Macaca mulatta: one gene and its partner. The protein of the gene in region 1 purifies or fractionates together with the protein of each later gene. This does not show direct contact. Links are inferred from orthologs where the notes say so. Each region holds a gene or a part of one and is shown on either strand. Other genes may lie near its edges.

Region 1 (5,543 bases):
ATATTCTTTTTTTTTTTTTTTTTTTTTAGACAAAGCTTCGCTCTTGTTGCCCAGGCTAGAATGCAATGGCACGATCTCAGCTCACTGTAACCTCCACCTCCCAGGTTCAAGCGATTCTCTTGCCTCAGCCTCCCGAGTAGCTGGGATTACAAGCACGCCTGACTAATTATTTGTATTTTTAGTAGAGATGGGGTTTCACCACGTTGGTCAGACTGGTCTTGAACTCCTGACCTCAGGTGATCCACCTGCCTCGGCCTCCCAAAGTGCTGGGATTACAGGCATGAGCCACCACACCTGGCCAACACTTGCTATATTTTCTTAGTAATAGGGCCTCACTCTGTCACTCAGGCTAGAGTGCAGTGGTGCGATCATAACTCACTGCAGCCTTCATCTCTTGGGCTCAAGCGATCCTCCTGTCTCAGTCTTCTGGAGTAGCCAGGACTACAGGCATGCACCACCATGTCTGGCTAATTTTAAAATTTCCTGTAGAGAAGGGGTCTTGCTGTATTTCCCAGACTGGTCTTGAACTCCCAGCCTCAAGTGATCCTCCACCTCGGCCTCTCAAACTGCTGGCATTACAGGCATGCGCCACTGTACCCAGCCCACTTACGCTTATAATCCCTCCAAAAAAAAAAATCGGCCGGGCGCGGTGGCTCACGCCTGTAATCCCAGCACTTTGGAAGGCCGAGGCGGGCGGATCACAAGGTCAGCAGATTGAGACCATGGTGAAACCCTGTCTCTACTAAAAATAGAAAAAATTAGCCGGGCGCAGTGGCGGGCGCCTGTAGTCCCAGCTACTCAGGAGGCTGAGGCCAGAGAATGGCGTGAACCCGGGAGGCGGAGCTTGCAGTGAGCCGAGATTGCGCCACTGCACTCCAGCCTGGGCGACAGAGCGAGACTCCGTCTCAAAAAAAAAAAAAAAAAAATCAATTTTTTTTATTCTAAAAGTTTCAAGATATTATTTACACCTTGCCTGTCCCTCAGAGAACTTCATGGACTCCAAGCCCCATACTCAGCCTGAGCCAAATGAAGACATCCAGAGGAATTACTCCTTCCACAACCACAGTTTTCGTATTTCTCTTCCACCCCTTCTCTGAACCTGCTCTAAGGTGTTGGAAGATACTGATTCCTAGGAGAAGAGACAGATACTTGACTATGGCGTAATCAGCTAACAAGAATAATTTTTGGGCTGGGCGCGCTGGCTCATGCCTATAATCCCAGCACTTTGGGAGGCCAAGGCGGGCGGATCACGAAGTCAGCAGTTCAAGACCAGCTTGGCCAATACAGTGAAACCTTGTCTCTACTAAAAATATAAAAATTAGCTGGGCGTGGTGGTGGGTGTCTGTAGTCCCAGCTACTCAGGAGGCTGAGGCAGAAGAATCGCTTGAACCCAGGAGGCGGAGGATGCAGTGAGCCGAGATCACGCCACCGCACTCCAGCCTGGATGACAGAGCAAGATTCCATTAAAAAAAAAAAAAAAAAAAGGCCGGGCGCGGTGGCTCAAGCCTGTAATCCCAGCACTTTGGGAGGCCGAGACGGGCGGATCACGAGGTCAGGAGATCCAGACCATCCTGGCTAACCCGGTGAAACCCCGTCTCTACTAAAAAATAAAAAAACTAGCCGGGCGTGGTGGCAGGTGCCTGTAGTCCCAGCTACTCGGGAGGCTGAGGCAGGAGAATGGCGTGAACCCCGGAGGCGGAGCTTGCAGTGAGCTGAGATCCGGCCACTGCATTCCAGCCTAGGCGACAGAGCGAGACTCCGTCTCGAAAAAAAAAAAAAGAATAATTTTTGTGGAATAAAATTAAACATCTCTACTCTGAGCGTGGCCTCCGATCTCTACTGTACCATCTACTTGCTCAAAGTACTCACTGTAATCTTGAACCAGTTCTTTGAGGTCCCATCCTGGCTGGTGCCAGCCCCTCCTCTCTCTGGAGGAGCTCTGTCTCTCCGCACAGTAACATGAATGCGATCTCGATCATGCCAAGTATCACCCCGACGGTTAGGTCGGGTGGTATAGGGGTTGCTGTGGGTAAACAGAGGATAAAATGACCACAAATGCTAGGAAAGTCTTCTCAAAGACCTTCCTGCACTGTGTTGGCGGGACTAAACTAAGACTGTTCAATCGCTAAGCTAGTCCTGGCATTTCTCACTATAACAGGTGGGAAGGAAAATGACATGGACAGTAAAAGGGCCATATAATCTCATGAGCCACTAAATTCAAACCAGACCAACTGGTCACTTACTATCGTACTCGGGGACCATCCTGGGCATCACTCATTGCCACATCTCCATCATCTTCCTCCAGGCGGGAAGACCGAATACCAGAACCGCCTCTTCCAGACCTACGGTTTCCTTCACCATATTTCCACCGGAAGGGACCCCGGCCTTTTTTCTTTCTTTGAGGGAAATTAACGCGTTCATCATCGTGTTCTGGAGTTAGAAACAGGAACACAAATTAGAAGTAACTGGTCCGGCTTGGTGTGGCAATCATAGTTTCTACTCTGAACTACTGGAAGAGATACATACTAACTACACAGGCCATCTCCATGCAAACTCCGCTGCCTGTCCACAGGAAAGAACTCTCTCTGTGGGAGGTCAGCATCAAGGAAAAGTTATTGGAAATCTGTGCAGGGCTTTTGAAAAATGAAGTAGAAACTGGAATTAGAAGCAGAATGTATAAATGTGAGACCCCAAAGTGTAAGTGAACACAAATCAGACCTCTGAAAGCCACCTGAAATCTGCCACTCAATACTTTGTCTATACAGTACAGATGCCAGTTACAAATATGATCAGTTTAAGGATCCTCTAAAAATTCTCCTTGTTCTCAAATTGCCACTTTGAAGTTTTCTGAGGAGCTCTTCGATTCCTTGGCCAGAAATGCCCTTTAACTCAGGAGACAATTTCTAGACTCAGGCTCTAGTGGTAGTGCCAGGCTAGGGTGCTTAACCAGGGACCCTGGAATGCTCTCCAGGAATATGATCTGATTCATGCTGTGCAGGACTAGCGTCTTAAAAAGGGTCCCTAACTCCCAAAAGAGATCTGCCTAATACCGAGCACTCTGTAAACAATGAATCTCAACAAATGACCCTAGGAAAAAAGAACACAGAAGGCGCAGCTAACATTCATTGAGAACTGTTCTCCAGTACCGGCCACTATGCTTCAGGCACTTGATAGGAATGATCTCATTTTCCCCCCTACTTCCCCCCCAACTCTTAAGAAATACTGTTGTTATTCCACTTTAAAGGGGTGGAAGAGGAGAGTTTTAAATTCACGGTTTCAACCTCCACCATGCACTCCTAACTACTACAAAGAACTAACACCCAGTGTAGTGTTCAGACTGGAACATCCAGTTGATGTGTAAGTCTCGAATATTAAGCCAAAGCCCAGGCCCGAGGGTTCAAGACCGACTGGACGCAGTAAAAAATAGGGCACCAGGGCAGCCCATGAGTAGGGCACTAACTCACATTAAAGGAAGAGTCAGGCCGCCAAACCGAACTGACAGGCATCAACCACCCACAAAGTTCAAAGGAATCCCGTCCCCCTACCCCCGAGCCACCCGCTCCGAGCCGCAGGTCCCCCAACACCAGGATTCCAGGAGGAATCCAGGAGTCAACAACTCGGTAATCCACCTCGAGTGCCCCCGACCCCCCGCGCGCCGCTCCCCGCGGACGTCGGGCCCCTGGCGGCCTCACGCCCCGGAGGCTGAGGCCTAGGCCGGCGCCGCCCACCCGCGCCCCAGATAGCCGGTTCCCGACCCGAGGACCAGCACTGACCGCTGTACGACTTCCCCTCGTCCGCCATGCCACAGCGAAGAGCAAGGGCGGGCTCAAGCGCTGGCCGCTACGCCGGCAAACGACCGAACGCCCAAGCACTCAGGACCGAAGTGTCCCTACGCCGGGCGCCACCGCATTTATATAGCAAAGCACGTCGCGCGCCGCTGACGTCCCAGGCTGGAGGCGGTGTCGCCGCCCGGAGAAAGCGCGACCCCCTGCGCGTGCGCACACTTAAGGCCGTCGTGCGAGGGGCGGGGCCTGACCCTCCGCGCCCCGCCCAAGACCTGAGCTTGCGGAACCCCGGCTGGTAGCCAGCAGGTCCCCGCATGTTTTCATCTGTCCGCTGACGCTGCCCTGGCAGCTTGAGTTAGTGCTAGAGCAGAGTGCTGCCGCTGCAGCCCAGAACTCAGCGGGGAACGGGGCCGTACCAAGGGCTTCCGAGGAATGGAGACCGCGCCTCCGGGTGGGAGTGATGGCTCAGACCCCTACCCGCATCTAGCCAGTGTGTCAGCTCGGCTCCTTGTCTATGCCTCGCTTTCTTCGCCTATAAGATGGATTAACAAATCACGAAGTTGAGAATTAGAATGTGAGCTCGAACGTTGACTAAAGGCTTTTTTTCCCTCGAGGGCTTGACTCGGCAGGTACTATGCCTGGCACATAGTAAAAATTCAACATGTATTTGTGAAATAAATGAATTTCTATTCTGTGAATTTCCCCCACCCCACCCTGAGTTGCTGAGTCAAATGAGACGACATCTGTCAGGGGTTTGCCGAGCATTGTCTTCACAGACCTTCCATCAATGGCGTCCCCTGTTAGAAACCCATCGTGTCAACGGGGCAGACAGTGAAGCTCACCAGCAGTGGCAACTTGCTGGAGATGCCGAGGAGGAGGACATTTTAAAATATCAGGGCCTTGGGCTCTCCTAGACCCCCAAAAGCACCACCATCAGCCCCTGATTGATTGTTGTCTCTATAGCTTCAGCTTCCTTTGGAATGTATGAGACAGGGGCACTGGAGCGTCCTCAGAATGTGGTTGCGAGTCTTGGTCAGGAAGAACAAAGCACATTAATCTCTCTGGACGGTGGGTATTTTGGGCAGGTGTTTCCTCCATTCTCTGTGACTGGCTTTGATTTGGTGAAGTGCTTTGAGGGAATCAAAAGCCTCAACTGGAGTTGGGAACAAATTCTTCACCTTCCACTCCTGGCAGCAGGCAGAGCTTCTGCCTTGCTTAGCTCAAGGAAGAATTACGGCCAAATAGTTGGAGGATACAGATGAAACAGGTCCAAACACTGTTTGAGATGGTCTTGGAAGCTGCCACCAATCAGGGACCCCCTCTGGGATCCTGCTTCTGTGTGAAAGGAAGTTTCCATGCTAATCAAGTGTTGCAACACTTGGTTCTCCCCTGTCTAGAGGCAGCTGTGTGTCAGAGCCCAAAATAGCCTGCCTCAGCAGTGATACCTGGCACAGCCATTAGCCCAACCCTTTCAGTTCTGGTACTGGGCAGTGGGCTCACTCCACTCGCTGCCTAGGCCCTTCGACGCTCCCACCCAGAAATGATGACATGGCTAGTGAGGCTGACAGTCTTGCTGTAATTGGGAGAAAACGGGCTGCAGCACATTTGGCAGATTGAGAGTCACCAGCAGCCAATGTCAGGGGTTGTGCAGGCAGCTGAAGGGCTCAGGGTTCCCTGCCCCACATGGTGAAAGAGGAAGAAAGAGGTCAATTGGGAAAATTGGTCCCTGGGGCTGCTTCCTCTCTTCACTCACAGGAA
Region 2 (5,839 bases), on another chromosome or scaffold:
GAACCAGAAATACCATTTGACCCAGCAATCCCACTTCTGGGTATATACCCAAAGGATTATAAATCATTCTACTATAAAGACACATGCACACATACGTTTATTTCAGCACTATTCACAATAGCAAAGACTTGGAACCAACCCAAATGCCCATCAATGTTAGACTGGATAAAGAAAATGTGGCACATGTACAGCATGGACTACTATACAGCCATAAAAAAAGGGATGAGTTCATGTCCTTTGCAGGGACATGGATAAAGCTGGAAACCATCATTCTCAGCAAACTAACACAGAGACAGAAAACCAAACACCACATGTTTTCACTCATAAGTGGGAGTTGAACAATGAGAACACATGGACACAGGGAGGGAAGTATCACACACACCCGGGCCTGTCAGGGGGTGGGGGGCTAGGGGAGGGATAGCATTAGGAGAAATACCTAATGTAGATGACGGGTTGATGGGTGCAGCAAACCACCATGGCACCTGTATACCTATGTAACAAATCTGCACGTTCTGCACATGTATCCCAGAACTTAAAGTATATATATATATATATATATATATATATATATATATATATATATAAAATCCCATGTTTAATAAATGGGTTTTATACAAAAAATAGGTTTTTAGAGATAGGGTATTAACTTTTGCAGCTGCAGGATAGAAGTAGTTCTCCAAAGCACAGTTCTATGCTGGTAAGAGACCTAGGCAAGACTCACTTGACTACATACTGACATAATTACTTAAAAGATACGGTGCAGGGATAAGTTGCAATGAAAAAGCTGATGAAATCTCGATCTGCTGAGGACTTAATATTATCCATGCTACATGCATACTTTTTGTGGGTGTAAGCTATACTTCTGAACCATAATCAGAAATTACCTATAAATATATGAAATAAAAGGGGCGAATCAGGAAATATTCCCAGTAATGACCGACCCCTCCATTAGCACTAATACTACCTTAACCATATTGGTTAACTGATGGAACTAAGAAAAGAAACATATTTAAGTGAATATATGCTGGGCCCAATGTTAAGTGCGGTATTTTAATTAATTCATACTTATCAACCTGAAAAGAAAATGAGGTTGAGGGAAAATGACAGCTTGCTCCAGGTTAAAAAACTAGGTAAAGGTAAACCTGGGATATGATTCCAGAGCCCATGTTCCCATGAATGCCATACCAATCCTTCCCTGAGCAATTTGCTTTTAAAGGGTAAGTCCACAGTTACCACTTATGCAAGGCAGATGAAACGCTGGCTCCAGACACGACCTGGTATTTAATAACAAGTAGTAGTCTAAAAACAGTAGTAGAGTCTATAACACTCACCCGTCTTCTTTTATCCATTGTCTCATAGTAAATATTGACAAACTCCTCAGCAGCTCTACATGCCTGATCTACATAAGTTTTAAAATCCTACAAGAAAAATTCCAGAAGTATAGATTACCAACCGTTTCAACCCCTCACAAACACAAAACCACTGACAGAAGCTGATGATTTATTTCAACCACCATGTAGTTCTATATATAGTCCACATTCTTTCATATAAATTCAGACATTTTAAAGGCTGGACTCTAAAGTTTGCAATTTTAAAATTTTTCACTAACTTTAAGTGCATGTCTTTAGGACATAATCTTCTCAATGAATCTGAGTCTTTTTCAGTCTCTACATATAAATTTATAATCTTTTCTTGGCAACTAAGTACTTTAGACTTTCAATATTTTACAAACATTCACGGCAATGAAAATGACACCACCTGACCCTTAGAAAAGGAGAGCGAGCGGCGAAAACTGCCACTGAATAAGCTAGGCAAGTGTTTTCTCTTTTCCAAGTGAGATGTTAGGGCCAAACTCCAAAGTTGTTGAACGGAACACACACACACACACACACACACACCCCCCAATGTAGTTCAACTACTTGAAAAACTGGCAGCTCCACTTAGGAAACTTTCCCACATTACGTGAACTTTCACTGCTGTTTGCATAAGAACCGTGAAACCGAAGAAAGCAACGCTGTTGGCGTTCGTGCCGGAGAATTAAGGAATACCTTCCTTCTCATTCATTTACGGGGCCCAGTCTATTACAGAATTAAGAACAATGAATCGCCAGTTTGTCAGGTAACTGAAAGTGATTTTTAGAGAGGAAGATAATCGAGAAAAAGAGAATGCAAGCCATAAACAACAAACCCCAAACCCCCGCCTCTCGCTATTTCGCAGCTCAGGGTCCTTTCCGGGACCAGAAAGCGACAGCAAAACAGGCGGGGTTGGGGCCGGCAAGGCGGGCAGCAAAACGTGGGCCCCGCCCCGCAGTACAGAGAGCCGGGCCGTGATTCGTCACCTATCCACGTGAGCAGCAACCAGACCGCCCCGGAGTCCCTCCAATCAGCCACTGGAGTCCGGCGCCCAGCAGACCTGCCACAGCCCAAGCACTCACCACAGACATGGCCATCGGGGAGCCTGCAGCAGCGTGTTCCGGCAGTGGCGGCGTCACTACCTCCTCACGTGTCCGGCCCCCACAGCTGCGGAATGATCAATACTTATGAAGAGAGCGAAACCCGCCAAACGCACAGAATTTTCCACCCTCCCATTCTCTCCCGGAAGTAGCTCGGTCCGTCGTTAAAAGCACACCGATGTTCCAACCTTAAGTTCCACCGCCCTTCAGTTCCTGCAGATCCCTCCCATCCGCCTTATCTACTTGTTTGATACTTACTTAGTTTAAAATTTAAAAACCACTTCGCTTTTGTAAACATGATACTCAAAAGGAAAGTCCCTTAGTTTTCTACCGACAAGCCTGGGGACAAGCAAAAATGAAAGTGTTCAATTACAGGGACTTTTTTTGCCCCAGGAGGCGGAGCCAAAGTCCTCTGGAGACCAATTCGAAATGCGAGACCTCCTATTCCGTAGCCTATAGGATAAATGGGCGGAGCTTGGGGAAAGGCGTGCATGAATAGTGAACAATTTAGCATTCTGGAACATTCTGGAAGGATCACCCTCACTGAATTACTATGTTTTGGCAGTATGCCTAAAATTACTGTTTCATTTTAACCTAGCCATATTCAACAGGAAAAGTTCATCTAGTTTCCCCATTCTGGCATTTTACAATGTCTTGCAGACACCAACAAAAATTAAGTTCACAGTGCCATTCACCACCTTTTAAGGGCTATTTATTCTGCAAAGTATTCTAACAATAACTAAAATGTGAAGCGCTGACTGTATGTAAGGTGCTTTTCTAATCAGTTTTACATATATCCACTTATTATAACAATGCTGAGGTAATTGCTATTATTTTATAATCTTCATTTTACAGCTAAGATGGAGTGAATCTGCCTACGGTAACAGACTAGTTGAGATTCAAACTCAAGCAATATAACTATCACGGCAATCTGGCTTTGCTCCCCAACACCCCTTAAAAACCTCTCATCCCAAAGCCGCCAACGACTTCTGATTTAAATGGCAAATTAATTAGATGTTGTAGTTTTACCTTGAGTGGCTGGTGTGTGGTCCCTCATAATAGTGACTTCTTCTTTGGTGTCTTTCTCTGTCTCCCTGAGACCAGTGGCTTCTGCACTTTCTCATACTTTTAACCTTTCTCTTTATCTGGCTCTTTTCCTTTTAAGGTAGTGCTAACGGAAGCTGCTTCTCGGCCACTCCGCTTCCGTTTTCCGCTAACCTAACCTCTGACTGGCGTCACTTCCGGTGCATCCCCCCTTTTAAAGCCTCCCTTCTTCAGGGTGATGTAAATTGCTACCCGTATGCTAATGAATCTTAACAACCTATCCCAAGCCCGCACCGCTTATCTGAGGTCCAGTTACACATATGAATTTTGCTAAACATGAACACGAGTGCACTATAGGCTTCTTAAACTTGTACGTGCAAAATTTAAACTCATTATTTCCTCTGCACTTCCAAACTTTTGTATTCTCCCAGTCGCCTATCTTGAATTCTCGGAATCTTTATTTTTTTGGTTCCCTCTCCTCCTTATCATGATTCATTCAATAAATATTTATCAAGTAGTCACTGTGTGCCAAGGATTGTGCAAGGCTCTGTATATATAGTGGAGAATAAAATGGACATGTTTCGTATTCTTATGAGGCTCAAAGTGTAATGAGAGTGCTAGACAATAAACATAACATCAATGAGTTACAAAGAAATACTGAGTAACTTGCTTAGTTCTGACCATTCCCTATAGCAATCCTTCTACCCTTCTCCCTCTTCCCTTTCTTTTTATTTCTTTTTTTTTTTTTTTTTTTTTTTTTGAGACGGAGTCTGGCTCTGTGGCTCAGGCTGGAGTGCCGTGGCATGAAGTTGGCTCACTGCCAACCTCCGCCGCCTGGGTTCGAGCAATTCTCTTGCCTCAGCCTCCCGAGTAGAGTAGCTGGGACTACAGGCACGAGCCACCAGGTCCGGCTAACTCTTTTCCTTTTTCTCCCTCTCTCTTTTTGGCTCTCTCCCTCCCTTTCTCCCCCACACTTCTCTCACTTTCCCCGTCTCGTTCTCTCCTCCCTCTCTCCCCCCGAACTTCTCTCCCTTTCCCCTTCTCATTCCGCCTCTCATTCTCTCCTCCCACACAAACTTTGATAACTCTATTGCCTATTTTCTTCCAAACTCTCATAATCTTTAAATACCTACCTTGGTCTGATCTGAATTTATTTTCCCAGGCTATTCTCCCAAATTCACCAACACTGGCAAAGTTAACTACTACTGGTTGCCAAGAATGACTGATGTTTACTGCTTTATTGGTGATTGTTTTTCTTGATTGAGAGATTGTGTTTTATATGATTTCATTCAATCCTCAAGACCCCCAGAAAGGCAGACATTATTATCTAGATTTTTTAAAATTTAAACTTAAGTTTAAAGAAGTTAAGTAAATTGGTTAAGATGATACAGCTAGTGGGCCTGGGATTTCCCCCCCAAACTTTCAAATCCCAAAGTCTGCTTTTAGACACTTGGCTATTCATGCATTTACTTATATATTCTTCTTTTGGAAGGTTCCCTCCATTTCTACCTGTCCTTCAGGGACCAATGTAGCAGGACGAGCCGCAGACAAAACTCCTCAGACACCGGATTAAAGAAGGAAGAGGTTTTTTTATTTGGCCGGGAGCATCGGCAGACTCGCGTCTTAAGAGCCGAGCTCCCGGACAGGTGCGATCTTCCCTATGAAGCCTTCCCTTGTTTCATGTCCCCTGAACCCCAACTGTTGTGACCTCTTTAATGGCTGTGAGGGTGGCTATTGGTGTGGAAATAGTGTTGAAAAATATGGGAGGGTTGAAGTACTGGAAAGGCACAGTTGAGTTAGAGGTGGAGGGGGTCCCAGTTTTGCACTGAATTTTTGCACGGAATTTTGTGCTACAAAGTGGAAATTGCTACATTGTGCTACAAAGATAGGAGACTGGGTAAACTGATAATATAGAAACCAATGATGGGCTCTGGTTGTCAGAGCAGTGAATTTAAAGATATGAAAACTATGTTGCGTGGAGGGGGAGGGAAATGGAAACAAAGTGAATAAGACACGGAGCTGCTCTTCACTAGATAACTGCAAATGTATAAAACTTGGGAAGAATGACTAGGAAGGATGTGAAAGGGCTTTTCTGGGAACACAGCACAGCATTTTGATTAAACACATTGCTGTTGGCACTAGTCTGGGCTCGAATCCTAATCATGCTACTGACTAGTTTTGTGACCTTGGAAAATTACCATTCCATGACTCAGATTCCTGATCTGTAAAATGAAAATGATATTAGTACATATTTCACAGCATTGCTTTAGGAATTAAATGAGTCAGTGCCTGTCATATAGTTCTTGCTTGAGGAGCATTATTTTCCTACCCATGGCAGAGGAA

The links. The genes of interacting proteins can lie anywhere in the genome.
Region 2: the proteins of NXF1 (region 1) and NXT2 purify together in Homo sapiens (co-immunoprecipitation; 5 studies listed by BioGRID and IntAct, counting the BioPlex papers as one, with this or other methods). This does not show direct contact. The link is inferred for Macaca mulatta from reciprocal best matches to the Homo sapiens genes NXF1 and NXT2.

Annotation. Positions count from the first base shown.
Region 1 is NC_133419.1:11,250,124-11,255,666, reverse strand, and holds the start of NXF1 (nuclear RNA export factor 1), read right to left. Parts: upstream 3,888-5,543; 5' UTR 3,802-3,887; coding exon 3,774-3,801; intron 2,431-3,773; coding exon 2,244-2,430; exon of another isoform or gene 2,213-2,243; intron 2,059-2,212; exon of another isoform or gene 2,024-2,058; coding exon 1,870-2,023; intron 1-1,869.
Region 2 is NC_133426.1:116,310,006-116,315,844, reverse strand, and holds the start of NXT2 (NTF2-related export protein 2), read right to left. Parts: upstream 3,603-5,839; 5' UTR 3,577-3,602; coding exon 3,482-3,576; intron 2,855-3,481; exon of another isoform or gene 2,711-2,854; intron 2,520-2,710; coding exon 2,435-2,519; intron 2,259-2,434; exon of another isoform or gene 2,188-2,258; intron 1,419-2,187; coding exon 1,332-1,418; intron 1-1,331. UniProt on the Homo sapiens protein: Regulator of protein export for NES-containing proteins. Also plays a role in mRNA nuclear export.